Linked DNA regions of Saccharomyces cerevisiae S288C. The protein of the gene in region 3 purifies or fractionates together with the protein of the main gene of each other region. This does not show direct contact. Each region holds a gene or a part of one and is shown on either strand. Other genes may lie near its edges.

Region 1 (4,896 bases), on a different chromosome or scaffold from region 3:
CCTAAAGAAGCCCGTTTTGCCAACGATCCAAAGTAATGATCTAACTCCGTTAACTTTGGAGCCTCTGAACTCTTATCTCAAAGCAGATGCTGGAGGGGCTGTGGCTGCCATTCCTGAAAACACGAAAGTTACATCCAAAGCTAAGAAGATATCCACGAAGTATAAGCTGGGCTTGGCAAAGCAGCATTCGTCATCAAGTGTTGCTAGTGGAAGTGTTTCAACGGCTGGCGGTCTCGCCAATGGAAATGGGTTTTTCAAGAACAAGAATTCATCCAAATCCTCTTTGCATGGGACACTGCAGTTTCATAATATAAACCGTTCTCAGAGTACGATGGAGCACACGCCTGACACTCCAAATGGAGTTGGAGATAACTTCCAAGATCTTTTTACCGGAGCGTATCATAAATATAAGGTATGGAGAAGGCAGCAAATGTCATTTATAAACAAGCATGAAAGAACACTAGCCATTGATGGCGACTACATATACATTGTACCCCCGGAGGGACGTATACATTGGCATGATAATGTAAAGACTAAGTCGTTACACATTAGTCAAGTGGTTCTTGTCAAAAAATCCAAAAGAGTCCCTGAGCATTTCAAAATTTTCGTAAGAAGAGAGGGGCAAGATGATATCAAAAGGTACTACTTTGAAGCAGTTTCAGGTCAAGAGTGTACTGAGATCGTGACGCGATTACAAAACTTATTAAGCGCTTATAGAATGAATCATAAATAAGTAAAACCCATTATACTGCATCTTACCAGCATTAATTTTGGTTTATATCTAAATATGGTATAGAAAATACTTCATCGCGATCTCGATGGTGATTGGTCAGAGTCCGCTTCTCGATGCAAAGGGAAAAAAAAGAGCTTTTTAGGAGCAAGTCCCCCCATAGAGCACATAACTCGTTAGCATTGAATAAGGCCAGGTGACTTCAAATAATAATTTATAACTACGACAATGGGTGCTGCTTATCATTTCATGGGGAAAGCTATCCCTCCACACCAACTAGCCATTGGGACATTAGGACTGCTAGGTTTATTGGTTGTTCCAAATCCTTTTAAAAGCGCAAAGCCAAAAACAGTCGACATCAAAACAGACAACAAAGACGAGGAAAAATTCATTGAAAACTACTTAAAGAAACATTCGGAAAAGCAAGATGCGTAAATATAGCTTGATTGCTGCGCGGTTGAAGATCTTTTGTACATACAATAAATATTCTTTATATATACAGCTTTCGATATTCAAGATTTAAACATTAAATTATTAAAAAGAGGTCTATAACTAGACAGTTGCTACATCCACTCTTTTCTTGTTATATCTTTTTAATATACAATGTTATGTAAAACTCTCTGATAGTATTATGCTTATTATTTAAACAAGGCATCGTTTGATAAAGGATCGGCGGCAAGAACATTCTCTCTTCTCTTAATTTTTCTTTCCACAGCAGCTTCAGCTCTAGACTTTGCCTCCTCAGCAGCTTGTTGTTTAATTTGAGCTCTTACGACGTTTGGCGAAACATATTGTTTATTTTCATAGATCTTTGGACCACCAAATGAACCTTCTAGGATCAAAATGACAGTCATAACAAACCTAGGGCCAATTTCCACTAATGATATGTCTTCTTCGCCATCTTCATATTCTTCTTTGTTCTTAGTACTGTGTGAGATCTCATATGTCCTCACCCATATTTTATCATCTACAATACTGAAGGACATGACGTGATCAATAAATGGCTTAGATTTTCTAGCATTTGGTGGTACACCAAAATTATGCACTAGCAACTCCTTAATTAATTGGTAGTGTGGGGAGGATTCGAAACGTTGATCAAACGACAATACCGGACGAGAACCCTTTAAACAGTTACCTGTAAAATTCAACTCATCCATAGTATGCAAGTTTTGAATGTAAAATTTTATAGTTGGCCCATTTGGCGGCTTGGATAACCATAGATACAAATCTTGGTGTTTTCTGGCCTCAAAGAATAGAACATTATTACAATTGTACAACTCAGCGATTTCGTTCAACTGTTGAAGATCCTTTTTAGTATCCAATTTTGGCTCCTTTCTGGAATGAGGCAATAATCCGCTTAAGTCTTGAATTAAATGACGATGTCTATAGTTAACACCTCTACTCGAAATCAGAAGAGTTCTTTGCTTGTTCATAAATTGCTTGACATTGCCTTGCTTCTTTTCAGATTTATTATCTTTGCTCTTTCCTGCGAGGGCTTTGTAGATAGAAGACATCTTTGGTTGAACTCTTTCAACACCTGACGAATGTATAAAGAAAGACGTGAAGCAAAATAAGGCTAAGTAACCTTCTAACTCGTAAATATTATAGCAATTTCTGTATCTTTTTAGGTGATAGATTCTTTGAGAACCATCGCGATGAGCATCTAAAATTTTTCAGTCACCTTTAACGAAAATCACTGTCCACGGACCGCCGAGGGCTTTAGGAAAATAAATAATAAATGTCAGCTGCAACAGAATTCATTGGCGAAGCAACGATACATAACGAGCTCGGTACAGCAATCATCGCATCGAAGCATGTCCGACAAGATACAGGAGGAGATATTAGGACTAGTAAGCAGGTCCAACTTCAAACAATGCTATGCAAAACTGGGGCAATTGCAAAAACAATTTCCCAATGCGTTGTACTTCAAGATTTTGGAAACCTATGTTAAATTCAAGCAGTCACCTGGTAAGTTCGATTACAATAAACTGCTAGAAGAACCATATGGGCTGAAAGGGACAACGATTACGGGCGACACGCGTTCCTTGGAGTTTTTGCACAACTTCTTCGTAGAGTTAGGGAAATACGACGAAGCATTGCACGTGTATGAAAGAGGAAATTTCAAATTCCCTAGCTACGAATTGTCTTATCACTGGTTTATGAAAGCATTGGAAGATTCCAATTATAACCAAATGAGCAAAGCATCTCTACAGCTAGCTAAATACAGTGACAGTGGAAACCTGCCTAAAAGAGCATATTATTTTTGGAATGCAATCTCGATTTTAGCCGTATCAAGGTTTCAGGAAAACACTCTTTCAGATCCCAAGAAAATTTTGCTCTCCAGGCTAGCGCGCCAGTCTTTGTTAGACTTGAAACCATTTCAAAATGTTCAAGAGATTATAGTTTATTGTTTGGTGTTGGATGAACTATTCCCTCAATCTAGAGAAATCTCGGAAGAGATTGTTGCGATTACCTTTGCCAATTTTGATACTTCAGTAAACTTGTATTTGAAAAACTTTATCTTGAAGCATACCAAGTTATTGAATTCTCCACAAAAACTTTTTGAAGTTTGTTCAAAACTTATTGAAAAGGGCCTTGATGATTATGAATTGATCACAAACTTGATTGATGCTGCCTACAAACTTTCTAAATCTAAAGACGAAGTCAAACAATGGATTGATGAAAATTTGGGAGACTCAAGGAATACTCGATTGGCGCGCTTGAAACTTGATATAATGTACACCGATTCGGTTTCGGAATCATCTTTGTCGTACTATTTATCAAAGTACCATAACAAACCTTGTTGTTCAATCGATTTGAATCATTACAGCGGCCACATTAACATAGATATGCTTAAGAGCATTATGTCTAAGTACGATCCAGAGGATAAGGATTTGATTCATCATTGTAATATTCTAGAATTGGGACTTATTGGAAGCGACTCAATCAATAACTATAACAAGTTTAAGGGGACCCTGGAAAAAAAATCGGTAACGGATTATTCCTCCTGTTCTACATTCTTATTAGAAATAGTCAAGGACAAGTGCAAGAAAACTAATCCTGAATTGAAAGACGTGCTTTTGTGTATAACGATATTGGAAAATTACCAAGCCAAGGACCCTCATAACTTCGATACTATGTGCTGGCTGATTGTTTTATACATGTACCTGGGTTTAGTTCCCGATGCTTATTTCCATTTCATAAACCTAAAGATTAAAAACGTTCAAACAGATTCCCTAGATTACATGATATTCTCGAGATTTTCTACTTTGTTCCCGAATAAACAGAGCGATTTTTACTCCAAGACATTCCATGAACATAATAATTTATACGATACATCACTGGCTAATTTACCAAGATATATTCAGGTGGCATTCGAAAGAAATTCATATAGCAAAATACTAGGAATGCTCGAGATGAGGGATAAACTAATGAAATCCTATACAAGATGGACCAAAACTTTAGAAAACTTACAGTTCTCACGTTTATGCAACGACAAGCGCGGCCACCTACTACAAAAATTACACGAAGATTGGAGATCTTTAGAAATGACGCAAAGTGTATCATTTTCTGACAATAGAGACTTTTCCATATTAGATGAAAATTTTGCCCAATTTCTTAACCGTGGTAAAATTTTGGAATATGCTAACTTGAATGAAGAATCAATTTTTCTAACTTTGATAAGAGAACTTATTATTGAAGCTTTGCCAAATGGGGAGAAAACGGAACAAATAAGTGCGCTCTTAAAAAAACTTCCATCAATTAACCTTGAAGAGTTGTTGAATAATAATTTAACTGAAGTGGAGTCAGCGTCATTTCTGATTTTTTTCGAAATTTACGAAAATAACGGTAAAAATCTACATGATTTAATTTCTAGGTTGATGAAAGTCCCAATAAATGCAAAACAAAACTGGATGGTATCCCATACTTACCTTACTAAAATGGCAACCTTAAAAACACTAGACAGTTTGAAGAGAATCAAAGATAAAGAAATTCAAAAACTAATCAAAAACTCCCTCAAGGAGTTGAGGAGTTGTTGCGATGATGTATTTAAAGGTTATTCTAAAGCTTTAGTACAAGCATATGAAGAATTAAAAAAAGATGAATGTGGCAACTTGTTAAAAGAACTTGATGTTAAAGCTGAAAATGTCAAGAACATTAAAAAT
Region 2 (4,202 bases), on a different chromosome or scaffold from region 3:
GAAAGAACGTATTGTGAAGGAATTCACTGGATTCCTTCCTACCGGTACCAATATCACTGTAAATATGTCTTCAGATCCTTCATTGGATGCCTGGAAGGGTATGGCAGCTCTAGCACGAAACGAAGAACAGTATAGGAAAACAGTTATCAGTAAGAAAGAATACGAAGAGTACGGTCCAGAGTACATCAAAGAGCATAAGTTAGGGAATACGAAGTATTTTGAAGACTAAGGAGACAGCAAACTGAAACGCCTTAAAAACAAAAAAAGAGAAATAAATAGAGATATATGTAATACTATATTGGCAACGAATATTAATAAGTAATATCATCGCCTTTTTTCTTAGTGCTGTTTACAAATCGGCTTTATTATTTCTATTTTGAATTTAATATACAGTGAGACATATTTGAAATTGATATATATATATATATATATATATGTAGACAGAGAAAGATTAGAGAGAGAAAACTATGCTAACATGATGCCACTACGTTTGTGGGAACTTATTTTTCGTTAGAAGGTCTTTTAGCTTTTGGATTGACACCCTTTTTCAAAAGATTGTTTTTCACAGACTTTTCAATGTACTTATCGTCTTCTTCGTCCTCGAAGGTTGCGAAGTCAGAGTGAATGATACCTTCTTCCAAAGCTTCCTTTCTAGCAGCAGTTTCCTTTTCTTTTGCACTTGCTTGGTTATCATCAAACGAAGATGGACCGATCTTTTGGAATTTAGCGACAAAGAACCCATCGACGTTGTACGTATGTGGATAGTACCTCCTCGCTAATTTCACACTAGGATGAAACTTTTTGCCTCTGTAACTAGTAAACGCTTCTTTACCGATCGCTAAACCAGTATCGACTAACTTGACATTCGGTCTTTTTCTCAATGCATAGTCTATGACAGCTTCGTCCTCTTCCACTGCAACAGAACATGTCGAATATACTATTACACCACCATGTTTCGAGTTGCAATCAACAGAATCAATGGCGGATAGAAGCAATTGTTTTTGTAGATGTGGAATTTGAATGAAGTCCTTCTCGGTACGAGACACCTTGACAGATTGATCCTTACCGATAACACCAGTACCGGAACATGGGGCATCCAGTAAAATTCTGTCAAAACCTCCAATTACCTTAGGGAACTCACGGGCATCGTAATTGCATACAATAGTGTTGGTACAGCCTAGACGGTGGATATTAGCAATTAAAGATTTTGTTCTAGATTTATTGGCGTCGTTAGCGAAAACACAACCTGTGTTTTTCATCATAGCTGATATATAAGTGGTCTTACCACCTGGAGCAGCTGCCATATCCAAGATACGCTCATTTTCATGAGGATCTAGAGCAATAACTGGTAGAAAAGATGATGCCGCTTGTAAAATATAGTGACCTGCCAAATATTCTGGCGTAGCACCAATTGGGACTTGGGAATCGAATATTTGAAGACCAACTTTAGTCCAAGAACCAATAGGTTGTAGATTAACACCTCTATTCACAAGAGTTTGAGCTAAGTCTCTCCTTCTGGTCTTCAAGGTGTTGGTTCTGATGGTTATTGGTCTTGCAATTTCATTGGCTTCGAAAAACTCCATCGCCTCTGCTGGTGAGAATAGATTGAATAACTTTTCCGCCAAAAATGGTGTATAACCAAAGTACTCACAAATATCTTTCAAAAGTCTGTCAACGTATTCTCCTCTCGATCTGCCTTCTGCACCAAGAGTCTTAAAATTTTCCAAAACCTTTACAATTTCAATCATTCTTGTTCTTGTGGAAGTTAAATTAGGAGTTTCTTGTGCCATCATTTCTTCCTGCTCCTCAGTGGGCAATATGTCTGCTCTTGGTTGCATGTTCTCCGCTTCCACTAACTCCATTTCGGCTTCTTCAGCTTCTTCAGCTTCTTCTTCATCAAGTTTCTTAGAAAGAGCTTCCATGTTTTGTGCATTTAGTTCTTCAAGATCAGCCTCATCGTCGTCATCTGAAAAAATTGGGTGGGCGTCATTATCTTCATCTTCATCGTAATCATATTCTTGTTCCAAGTCAAATTCATCTTTTAGTTCTTCATCCACCAATCCTGCTTCATCGTCATCTTCTTCATCATCAAATAAAGATTTCCTGGCTTTTGATAATTCTTCAAGATCAACTTCTGGCAAATCCTTATCCTCTTCAACAACTTCTTCCTCCTCTTTTCTAGATTTCTTGAATGGCTTCGACTTCTTTTTCTTTCTATCAGAAACTTCATCCCCTTGCGTGGTAGAAGGTCTCTTTCCTTTTTCTAGCTTTCTATTAGCCTTCTTTTCCTTTCTTGCCTGAAACTCCTCCAGGGTTGGTGGGGCGGCTTGCTTGTTCTTATGACGTCTACTACCCATTTCCTATTATATGTATATGTAATTCTAATATTAGCCAACACAAGGGGAATTCCGCCAGAATTACAAATCTATATACCTTAGCGACAACTGTATTTGCAGCTCAGCTCATCTTAAACTTATTCTGCGATGAGATGAAAATTTTTTTCAGAAAACGTGAAACTGGGTAACGGTTTTGTAAAATCTGAAAAATTTCATCAAAAAAAAAAAAAAAGTCGATGAGGTGTATAATAACAATAATAATATTCAACTTTAAATTCTTTGGCACGTTGGATCCTACTCACATTGTTGCAAACGAATTGGACAAAAAAACTTTGAATTTAGTGCACAATGAATGCTTTGACAACCATAGATTTTAATCAGCACGTTATCGTCCGGCTGCCATCAAAAAATTACAAGATAGTGGAACTAAAGCCCAACACCTCTGTATCATTAGGAAAATTCGGTGCTTTCGAGGTTAATGACATAATTGGTTATCCTTTCGGGTTGACTTTCGAGATATATTATGATGGCGAAGAGGTTTCATCCGATGAAAATAGAGATTCGAAACCAAAGAACAAAATTCCCATCGGGAAAGTAAGGCTATTATCGCAGGAGATCAAAGATGTCAATAATGATAAAGACGATGGTCAAAGCGAGCCTCCTTTATCTATTAAGGAAAAATCTGTGTCTCTTGAATTGTCTAGCATTGACAGCAGTGCTACGAATCAGAATCTGGTTAACATGGGCAGCAAGGCCCAAGAGTTAACCGTTGAAGAAATTGAAAAAATGAAACAAGAATCTTTATCTAGTAAAGAAATAATCGACAAAATTATCAAATCTCACAAAAGTTTTCACAACAAGACCGTATATTCTCAAGAGAAATATGTGAATAGGAAGAAACAAAAATTCGCCAAGTACTTCACCGTTGAGTATTTAAGTAGCTCTAACCTTTTACAATTCTTAATCGACAAAGGCGATATCCAAAGGGTATTGGATATGTCTCAGGAATCGATGGGGATGCTGTTAAATCTTGCGAACATCCAATCAGAAGGCAACTATCTCTGTATGGATGAAACGGGTGGGTTATTGGTTTACTTTCTGTTGGAAAGAATGTTTGGCGGTGACAATGAAAGCAAATCCAAGGGCAAAGTCATAGTTATTCACGAAAATGAACATGCCAACTTGGATTTGCTGAAGTTTGCTAATTATTCTGAGAAATTTATTAAAGAGCATGTACACACCATTTCTCTATTAGATTTTTTTGAACCGCCTACACTACAAGAGATTCAGAGCAGATTTACACCATTACCTAAAGAAGAAGCCCGTGCATTAAAAGGTGGTAAGAAAAACTCGTACTACCGAAAACTCAGATGGTACAATACACAATGGCAAATTTTAGAACTAACAGGAGAATTCCTATATGACGGTCTTGTAATGGCTACTACACTACATTTACCAACACTAGTGCCAAAGTTGGCCGAAAAAATCCATGGTTCAAGGCCGATTGTATGCTATGGTCAATTCAAAGAAACTTTGTTGGAATTAGCTCATACTTTATATTCAGACCTCAGGTTTTTAGCACCATCAATTTTGGAAACTAGATGTAGGCCGTACCAAAGTATAAGGGGTAAGCTACACCCTCTGATGACCATGAAAGGTGGTGGTGGATATCTAATGTGGTGTCACAGAGTCATCCCTGCTCCTGAACCTGTATCGGAAAACGCGACTGCAGCTGACTCCAGTGAAAAGCTTGCTGAACATGGAGCTAAGAAACAAAAAATATAAATGTCCACAGAGTGTTCCGTTTGATAACTTCCAACAAAAAAACCTGAGAATATATATATTTACATTTATATACTTAGTTGC
Region 3 (4,044 bases):
AGAAGAAAAGAAAGATTAAACGCCTCGAAAAATTTTTACAAGGTCGCGACACCTCCAAATTACCTGATCCTGAAAGGTGGCTGCCATTAAGAGACAGGTCTACTTATAGGCCAAAGAAAAAACAACAAGGTGCAAAACAAACTCAAGGTGGTGCTATGAACAAAAAATCAGAACAGGCCCTTGACATATCAAAGAAAGGGAAGCCCACTGTTAATAAAAAGCCTAAGAACAAGAAGAAGGGCCGTAAATAGAGCGTATAAAGATTTTTGTCATTAGTAATCCTCAAATGTTGTCAAGTTATGTAATATTGTATATGAAATGGAACTCGACTAATTCAAAAGAAAGGTCATCGAGGGGTTAGGCTCCCCATTTTATCGAACAACTCTTTCCTTTTAAGCGCTAATTATATGATTCTTTATTATACAGAAAAAAATACATTGTGAGAGATAACGCAAGCTGTAAGTGAAATGTACACGGGAATTCATCATCAGTCCTTCCCACTAAGTAAACAAGGTGTCTTCATCTCTCAAATACTCACCAATATCTGCTTGTCTGAAAGCAACTATACCAGTGGGTTGCATGTTTCTTGACTCAGAAGTACTTTTCGCACTGACACCGAACCCTAATGGCACATCATTCATTGCAAACACAATAACACCGGCGTGTTCTGGTATATCATCAGACATTTTACCCACATGTGCCTTTAACACATGATTACCGTATAAGAATGGCATCTCCCCATTAGGTTTAATCCATATCTTATATTTGGCATGCTTAGCCAATACTGTCAAAGAAGTAATATGTAACCTGAATTTTCCAGTTTTCGTGAATTTACCTAAACAAATACCCAGAGACATCAAGTTAGGTCTTGCTACACTAGTAGCCAATTTTGCAACATGATCGGGTACGTAATATACTCTATCCTTTTGTAATCTGAAGACATGAGGAAGTTCTTTATTATCCACTAAAAAAGAAATATTTCTACCAATATAGCCGGCGAGTTTTTCGAAAACAACCTTGGTCTCTTCTTCTGTTAGCTGTCTCATTATTGCACCTAACTATAGTTTCCCTCAATGGTTCTACTACTCGGAAATCTAGAATACGATCCAATCACTAAACCGTCAATTACCTCAATAATACATTGCTTACTTTAGTTCTAAGCTCATCGCATATTTCAAAAATTTTCATTACCGTACAGAGATATATTATTTTGATGCGGGTAACTATTAGCCGCTGAAATAATATTTTCTTTTTTTTTTTTTCTTTTGGCTTTGAAATTTTTCACTTTTAGTCATCGCTATAGTTCGAGAAATTTGAAATACAAGAAGTACTAAAAAAATAATAAAGGACAATAAAGTGCTAGTAAATAACAATTATAAGTGATATCAAGGATGTCTGAAGAGAATTTGAGGCCTGCCTATGACGATCAAGTTAATGAGGATGTCTACAAGAGAGGCGCTCAGAGCAAATTGACCAAAGCTCGTAAGGCAGACTTCGACGATGAAAAGGACAAAAAAAAGGATAATGACAAACACATAGATAAAAGACCAAAAAGCGGTCCTCGTTTGGATGAAAATGGCAATCCACTTCCCAAGGAGCCTCGTCTCCCAAAGAGAAAGGTGGCTGTTATGGTTGGTTACTGTGGTACTGGCTACCATGGTATGCAATATAATCCACCAAATCCAACCATCGAGTCTGCCCTATTCAAAGCATTTGTTGAAGCAGGTGCTATTTCCAAGGACAACTCCAACGATTTGAAAAAGAATGGATTCATGAGAGCTGCAAGAACTGATAAGGGTGTCCATGCTGGAGGTAATTTAATATCATTGAAAATGATTATTGAAGATCCTGATATCAAGCAGAAGATCAACGAAAAGTTACCGGAAGGGATAAGGGTATGGGATATCGAGCGTGTGAACAAGGCGTTTGATTGTAGAAAAATGTGCAGTTCACGTTGGTACGAATACTTATTACCAACTTATTCACTCATTGGCCCCAAACCTGGTTCTATACTTTATAGAGACATCGAAGAAAGTAAAACAGAATTACCTGGTGTATTAGATGAAGATTTGGAATCCAAAGAATTTTGGGAAGAGTTTAAAAAAGATGCGAATGAAAAATTTTCAACAGAAGAAATCGAAGCTATATTAGCATATGTTCCGCCCGCAAGAGATGAATTTGATATAAATGAAGAACTATACCAGAAGGTAAAAAAGTACAAGCAATTAGAAAATGCTCACCGTAGAAGATATCGTATATCCGCGGCAAAACTGGCCAAATTCCGTGCTTCTACAAGTCAATACCTTGGCGCTCATAACTTCCATAATTTTACATTAGGCAAGGACTTCAAAGAACCAAGTGCCATTCGATTTATGAAAGATATAAAAGTATCTGATCCATTTGTTATTGGCGATGCCCAAACAGAATGGATTTCCATCAAGATTCACGGCCAGTCTTTCATGCTACATCAAATTCGTAAGATGGTATCAATGGCAACCTTAATTACCCGTTGTGGTTGCCCCGTCGAACGCATTAGTCAGGCTTACGGACAGCAGAAGATTAATATTCCGAAGGCACCTGCATTAGGATTATTGTTAGAAGCTCCAGTATTTGAAGGTTATAATAAAAGACTAGAACAGTTTGGTTACAAGGCGATCGATTTTTCCAAATATCAAGACGAAGTGGATAAGTTCAAAATGAAGCATATCTACGATAAGATCTACAAGGAAGAGGTGGACGAAAATGTTTTTAATGCGTTCTTTAGTTATATTGATAGTTTCAACAAGGTTACTGGAGCACAGGGAGAAGAAACTGCCGATAAATCGGGACCTGCTGTGCAAAAGAGTATCTTCGAATTCTTGACAGCTAAGGGTATCCCAGGTCTTACTGATGCGCCCGAGAGCAATAAGAAGATTAAGCAAAGAAAAAGAATGGAAGAGGAGGAAGCTGCTAGTAAAAAGGCTGAAATATCCAGCACCACTCAGAGCAACGAACCTGAAGTACAACCGGAAGCGGCAGCTAATTAGGTTGCCCTTTCCTTCTTTCTTACCAACTTTAATTTCTAAGGCATTGACATTGAAATTGACATTGTCCTCTAATGTTTATAGAGCACCATTATTTGTTTTCGTTTTATATATTATTATATAATGGCACAGAATAATTTATAATTCTTTTTTTTTAAGTCATTGAACAGTCGCACTAACCAAAAGATTAAACACCACCAGAGAGTAGTTTTTCCAGCCTGGCAATCTCTTCTAAAGAAGTAGCTTCTGCTAACTGCTTTTTCAATTCATTTCTTCTCTCTACTGTCATCTTACTCACCACCAAATTCATGATCTCCATCGTTTTATCTCTGGATCCATTATCTCTTATTGCAGTATTTACTGGGCCCAACGTATCGCCGTCCGCCTGCCTTGGAAAGCTCATTGCGCTCTTTCTTTCCTCAGCTGTTACGTTTTGAAAGTCTAAAGTCTCTAAATGCGGTACTAATCGAAGTACATGTTCTCTATAATTGGCTAAATGACATACTTGATTCCCTATTAAAGTTAGATTCTTCAACGTCCTGGGCGCTCTACGCAACCTTTGAAGATCTTCAAACCTTCTTATGCTGTTATTCGATAATGTAAGGTTCTGTACATTCATAGGCAATAGGCGACCGTCTACTTCAACGATATTGTTTCGGCCCAACAGTAATGTATGTATATCGTCTCTTCTTGATAGATCTGGAATCATGATAAGGTCATTGTTTGTCAAATCCAAGATGTGCGTAGGTTTGGTCAAATGCTTTAAGCTGGATGGCATGGATTCTGAATCCGTTTCTAGCTGCAGGTCTCTTAAAATAACACATTTATCCACGTTATACTTGCCATTAAAATGATCAACATAATATTGCGGAGCATCAATAACTATGCTAGGGGTGAACTTCATTATTGCTTATAAAAACTGATATTTTCCAAGTCCTGTAGTTTCACTTCGACCTGTTGAAGGCTTGTTGGATGCAGAGTATGCGATTGGCCTAATATAAGTAAATGTCATCTATGATAA
Region 4 (6,001 bases), 220 kb from region 3:
AATAAGACTCCAAAACTTCCTTGGCCCATCGGGCCCAAAAGCAGGAATAAGGTGAAAACCTGTGTCATTGGTGGTATCTTATTAATATAAAGACTCCAGAAGTATATCGCAATCAGTATGAAGACGAAGATAATGGCATGCAGCCACGTTAAGGCACATATGACCAACGTTATCAGTTGAATGTTTCTATTAAACGCATGGAAGAATATTTCTGACATTGTGAATGTTCCACAACTTGAAGCGACGACAACCAGCGGAATGATATCCAGTAGCAATACACTTTTCATGTTTTCGGATGCCATTTTGATATTATATGAAGGATAATTCCCAATCCCTTCCAAAGGGTAATAGTCATGCCAGATGAGAAACGAGATACCCCACGCTATTACTAGACAGACTGCGAGATCATACCACCACAAGACGTAAACAAATATCATCAAATTTCTGGCATTAGTGGGGCTCTTCGTCGTGTTCGCTTTCGAGAGTGCTCCTAAGAAATTTATAATTGTAACTAACCCCATGGGATAAGTACCCCAAAATAAATTGTGCTTCATATTTCTGAAAAAGTCATTAAAATATTCTCTGAAGCTTTTCTCCTTAATATAGACAATCAAATGTAATATTTGTAGTGCCTGCACAGCAATGAAAATAAGGCAAGCGATAGCAAACATGATGTAGGAGCATATTCTTAGCCACCTTGCAGGATATGGGAAGCTATATAGAATATTCGATGAAATGCCGACACCCATGACCATCATAAACATGAAGGGGTCAAACTGCCTCGTAAGAGCAAGTACCCAATTGGCAACCATTTTTTTCTTGTACTTGTCTTCTCTTACACTATAAAACGTTTTTAAATTGCGCGTATTGTCTGAGCTCAATCAACAATCGTTACTAGGGGAAAGCTGTAATTTGTGTGTTGTCTAAATGCGGAGAATTTGTTCAGCCAATATCACAAGTTTCAACTTAACAAGACAAGGATTAGAAATAAGAACTACACGCTGGTTGGCTATTCTTTTAGAACCTCTAGTTAAATAGGTAAAATAAGCAAAGTGAGCAAAAATAAGCAAAAGAAGTCAAAGACAACCCCAATGTGCCAAAGACGGCGATGAGTCTTCTGTTTTTTAAGATTCATGCACTCTCAGATTTTCGGCTACAGACGCGGCACAAGGATGAAAAAAAAAAAATGATAGTTTGCAGGAATTTATCAGTCAATTGATGGGAGACATCGCTATTGTTGCCTTATACGATACACTGCAAAAACGATAACAATTTCTTATTTGTCAACCTCGTGGGAGACTCGATAGGTTGCATGATGATGTGTCACAAAAAAGTAGAAGTGTCATCTTGACGCTATCCCACCCCTTCTTTTTCCACATGCTTAATTATTTGTATACATCCAGTGACATACAAAAAAATAGTAGAACATGGAGGGGTCGGCTTGTTGGATAATTTAAATCGGTTTATTATTATTATACAGATTAAATAAAATTTTTTTAAAAAAAAGATACAGAAAAAGTGAGAAAGAAAGAAAAAGAAACCACTAATAGTGAGAGAGATAATCAAATGTAAATGGTAATCCTACCAGCCCAAAAAGATTAGAATGTCGTGTACGTACATCCACATTTTATATTCATATTTTTTTTAAAGTACATGCAAAAGAAAGAATAAGAAGTAGAGAAATCAACGGAAATCTGTCTTACCGACACCACGCTTACCACTGAATAAATGCTTTGATAAGGAAACAGCATTGTGTCTATCAGATTCACCTTGCTTGGCATGTCTATTTCTTTCTCTTCTTTCCATCTTGGCCATCCTGTCGGCCTTGGATCTCATGGAGCCATCAGCAACACCATCCAACAGTCTATCGGTTTGTCTCAACTTGACACCGTTTTCAGTGGAAGCTGTCAAAGCATCTTGGTCGCCAAAAACAACATCAGAACCTCTTTCAACATAACGGTTCTTACGAGCAGCACGGTTCTGTTTATCTTGTAAGGCTGACATGTCATGGCCCAAAGTGGACATGTGTTCTTCCATTTTACCAAAGGACTTAGTTAGTTTAGAACGTGGCATGATAGCTTTGTTCTTCAAGGACTTCCTATTTCTTGCTTCAGCAATCATCGTCTTTTGTCTATTTCTAATCCATGCAGCTTTCTCCTTGATATCATCTACTTCGGATGCTTCGAAACCGTCGTAGATTTCTTCCTCATCGTCAGAATTGTAGAACCCTTCGTTCTCCAATTTTTCTTCTTCTTCTTCAAGAGCCTGCAGTTTAGCAGCGATTTCAGGGTCCAAGAAATCATAAACATTCTTACCATCCAAGATTTCTGGCATGATGTCATTCTTCCACTCATCATCTTCTAATAGGTACTTGTCCTTCAAGTTAACATTGAAGACACCAGCACCACCATTTTCAGCTTCGATGTCTCTGGCCAACTTTCTCCTGTTTGGATCTTCAGGGTCGTATTTCTTCAAATTCTTGACAGATTCTGGGATAAATGGTGTTCTCTTGACATCATCTCTTGCTTGAGGTTGAGCAACATGAATCTTGTTCAGAACATTGTTGATTCTAGACTGAGATTTCAACTTATTCTCAATTCTAGAAGCCAATAGTTTTTCACATGCTTTGTTTCTAACTTCCATAACGTTTTCTTCCAGTTGGCATGAAGAAGTCATGATTTCAACACCTGGAACCTCCTTAACAGATTCCAGTAATTGTGCACGCTCTTCGTCTAAATCCTCCGGTCTGATAATGTCGGTTTTGTTGATAACAACCATGACAGACTTGTTGGCGAATAGAGGCTTGATGGAGTGGAATAGTTTAACTTGAGCTTCGATGGTGAAACCACATTGTTCGGAAAGATCCATGAAGTACAAAACACAAGAACGTAAATGGGCAATGGCATAAATCGATTGCATTTCAATGTTGTTCATTTCTTCAGTGGGTCTATCTAGGATACCAGGGGTGTCAATAGCTTGAAATCTCAAGTATTTGTAGTCAAAATGACCAACGTATAAACTCTTGGTTGTGAAAGCATATGGTTGAACATCGACGTCTGATTTGGTAATGCATCTCAAAAACGAGGACTTACCGACATTTGGATAACCACAGATCAGCAAGGTTCTGGTATTTGGGTCGATCGATGGTAATCTACCAATGTGCTGTCTGACTTGTTCCAAATAGGCCAATGGGTCCCTCAATTTCTTGACTATAGTTGCCATTCTACCTAAAGCGGCCCTTTTCAATTGTTTACATTGAAATAAAGATTGACCGAATTTTAGCAATCTGACATAATCTCTGGCGACTTGTTCCACAAGGGACTTCGCACGAGATATAGCTGCCAAAGATATCTTGTAATGATTCTTTTCGTATAGGGTGTCCATCAAATCTCTATGGAAAGGATGCACGTCATTGATGTTAGGAAAACCCTTTAAAATGTCCTCAAATTTTTCCACGAAACCTTCACCTGTGTATTTAACTTTACGCATATAGAACGCTCTGATTCTTGTAATCTTGAAACCAGGTCTGATCACAGTTGGTGTCTTTCTCTGGGTTCTGTTCAAGACAATATCCAGCAAATCATTTGCTGGAGCGACAGTAGGGATATCCTTCCATGAAAGTTGCATCTTCGGTATAGGAGGGAGATGTGTTTGCTTTTGGAGGGTACACTTACTTTTTTATAAACGCTGCAACTCCTAAATCTGAAGTGTATTCTTTATATTGTATTAGATGAGGTAGTACATAGGTGAAAATTTTTCTTTGCGATGAGCTGCGGAAAAAACTTTTCGTTCAGTTGAAAAAAAAAAAGAAAGTGAAGATCGTGTGCGACGGAATAGACGTGTCGTTTTCCCAATACTGGCATACAAATCAAGAGGGAGAAGAGTGGGCTTTTATAATTGCAGTTGAATGCAGTATGGTAGCCGAGCAAACACAGGAGAACATGTCAGCCGTAGGTCCAGGTAGCAATGCAGGTGCTAGTGTCAATGGCGGATCTGCTACAGCCATTGCTACTCTTTTACGCAACCATAAGGAGTTGAAGCAAAGGCAGGGTTTATTCCAGGCCAAGCAGACAGACTTCTTCCGTTACAAGAGATTTGTTAGGGCACTGCATTCTGAGGAGTATGCCAACAAATCTGCAAGACAGCCAGAGATATATCCAACTATACCTTCTAACAAGATCGAAGACCAGCTTAAGTCACGTGAAATCTTTATTCAACTTATAAAGGCACAAATGGTGATCCCAGTGAAAAAATTGCATAGTCAAGAATGCAAAGAGCATGGATTGAAGCCAAGCAAGGACTTTCCGCACTTGATTGTTTCGAATAAAGCACAATTGGAAGCCGATGAATACTTTGTTTGGAACTATAACCCTAGAACCTACATGGATTACTTGATCGTCATTGGTGTCGTGTCCATCATATTGGCGCTCGTATGCTACCCATTGTGGCCGCGCTCCATGAGACGCGGCTCCTATTATGTGTCTCTGGGTGCCTTCGGCATCTTAGCAGGCTTCTTTGCTGTCGCTATCCTGAGATTGATATTATATGTTTTGTCATTAATTGTCTACAAAGATGTTGGTGGGTTCTGGATCTTTCCCAACCTGTTCGAAGATTGCGGTGTACTAGAGAGTTTTAAGCCACTTTACGGTTTTGGTGAGAAGGATACTTATAGTTACAAAAAGAAACTGAAAAGAATGAAGAAGAAACAAGCCAAGAGAGAAAGCAATAAGAAGAAAGCCATCAATGAAAAAGCCGAACAAAACTGAACTTCCATTATCCTGTATAGCTCTACTGTATAAACCTTCTATATTGTAACCTCATGAACTCGCACATGTACAAACCTTCAAGAGAACCGGCACCAAAGCGCTACCATCTGGTTGCTTCATCGCTTATAGTGAGTAGTTTTAGATTTGAAGGTTATCGCTCCTGGCAAAAATCTGAATCCACACACCGCATAATTAGCGGTTATTATTACTCAATTTCCGGCCGGCTTTAATATACTTTCACCGAAAGGTCTCTATATAGAAGCTATTTGCTGACACTTGCTTACAGGAATCGATTATATAAGAAGGGTTCTGCATCTGGTTGCCTACTTAGTTTTCGGTATTTTTGAAGATTAGCAAAAAGATCAAGATATCAAGTATTTTCATATTTGTCATTTTAATGTTTCGCTCGGGTTACTATCCAACTGTCACTCCTAGCCATTGGGGCTATAACGGCACCGTCAAACATGTACTGGGAGAGAAAGGAACCAAGTCTTTGGCTTTCAGAGATTCTAAGCGCCAAATTCCTCTTCATGAATTCGTAACCAAACACGTGCCTACACTCAAAGATGGTGCAAATTTTAGGTTAAACAGCTTGCTTTTCACAGGTTACTTACAGACCCTTTATTTGTCAGCCGGTGATTTTTCCAAAAAATTTCAGGTATTTTATGGAAGAGAGATTATAAAATTTTCTGATGGAGGGGTCTGCACTGCAGATTGGGTTATGCCTGAATGGGAGCAAACATATTCATTAAATGCTGAAAAGGCTAGTTTTAACGAGAAACAATTTTCGAACGATGAAAAGGCCACCCATCCAAAGGGTTGGCCTCGTCTTCACCCGAGAACTAGATATCTATCCTCTGAGGAACTTGAAAAATGTCATTCTAAGGGTTATTCTTACCCTTTAGTGGTAGTACTTCATGGTCTTGCAGGGGGAAGCCATGAGCCTCTCATCAGGGCATTATCTGAAGATCTATCAAAAGTCGGTGACGGTAAATTCCAAGTGGTAGTCCTTAATGCTAGAGGTTGCTCAAGATCTAAAGTCACCACCCGTAGAATCTTTACCGCATTACACACAGGTGATGTGAGAGAATTTTTGAACCACCAAAAAGCTCTATTTCCGCAAAGAAAAATATATGCAGTCGGAACATCATTTGGAGCAGCCATGCTAACGAACTACTTAGGTGAAGAAGGAGATAACTGTCCATTAAATGCTGCAGTCGCTCTCTCAAACCCAT

The links.
Region 1: the proteins of NIP7 (region 3) and BRX1 purify together in Saccharomyces cerevisiae (affinity purification with mass spectrometry; 3 studies listed by BioGRID, with this or other methods). This does not show direct contact.
Region 2: the proteins of NIP7 (region 3) and NOP2 purify together in Saccharomyces cerevisiae (affinity purification with mass spectrometry; 7 studies listed by BioGRID). This does not show direct contact.
Region 4: the proteins of NIP7 (region 3) and NOG1 purify together in Saccharomyces cerevisiae (affinity purification with mass spectrometry; 4 studies listed by BioGRID). This does not show direct contact.

The regions. Positions count from the first base shown.
Region 1 is NC_001147.6:184,480-189,375, forward strand, and holds BRX1 (ribosome biogenesis protein BRX1), read right to left. Parts: upstream 2,245-4,896; coding exon 1,369-2,244; downstream 1-1,368. Other genes in the region: AVO1 (Avo1p), read left to right, coding at 1-733; ATP19 (F1F0 ATP synthase subunit k), read left to right, coding at 959-1,165; MDM20 (Mdm20p), read left to right, coding at 2,545-4,896. UniProt on the Saccharomyces cerevisiae protein: Required for biogenesis of the 60S ribosomal subunit.
Region 2 is NC_001146.8:508,695-512,896, reverse strand, and holds NOP2 (rRNA (cytosine-C5-)-methyltransferase NOP2), read right to left. Parts: upstream 2,358-4,202; coding exon 501-2,357; downstream 1-500. Other genes in the region: actin-related protein ARP5, read left to right, coding at 1-229; tRNA 1-methyladenosine methyltransferase subunit GCD10, read left to right, coding at 2,685-4,121; MTQ1 (S-adenosylmethionine-dependent methyltransferase), read right to left, coding at 4,195-4,202. UniProt on the Saccharomyces cerevisiae protein: S-adenosyl-L-methionine-dependent methyltransferase that specifically methylates the C(5) position of cytosine 2870 (m5C2870) in 25S rRNA. Required for 60S ribosomal subunit synthesis and processing.
Region 3 is NC_001148.4:150,497-154,540, reverse strand, and holds NIP7 (ribosome biosynthesis protein NIP7), read right to left. Parts: upstream 1,047-4,044; coding exon 501-1,046; downstream 1-500. Other genes in the region: signal recognition particle subunit SRP72, read left to right, coding at 1-251; pseudouridine synthase PUS1, read left to right, coding at 1,392-3,026; U2 snRNP complex subunit LEA1, read right to left, coding at 3,211-3,927. UniProt on the Saccharomyces cerevisiae protein: Required for proper 27S pre-rRNA processing and 60S ribosome subunit assembly.
Region 4 is NC_001148.4:368,604-374,604, reverse strand, and holds NOG1 (putative GTPase NOG1), read right to left. Parts: upstream 3,628-6,001; coding exon 1,684-3,627; downstream 1-1,683. Other genes in the region: SSU1 (Ssu1p), read right to left, coding at 1-812; Sec63 complex subunit SEC62, read left to right, coding at 3,942-4,766; EEB1 (medium-chain fatty acid ethyl ester synthase/esterase), read left to right, coding at 5,164-6,001. UniProt on the Saccharomyces cerevisiae protein: Involved in the biogenesis of the 60S ribosomal subunit.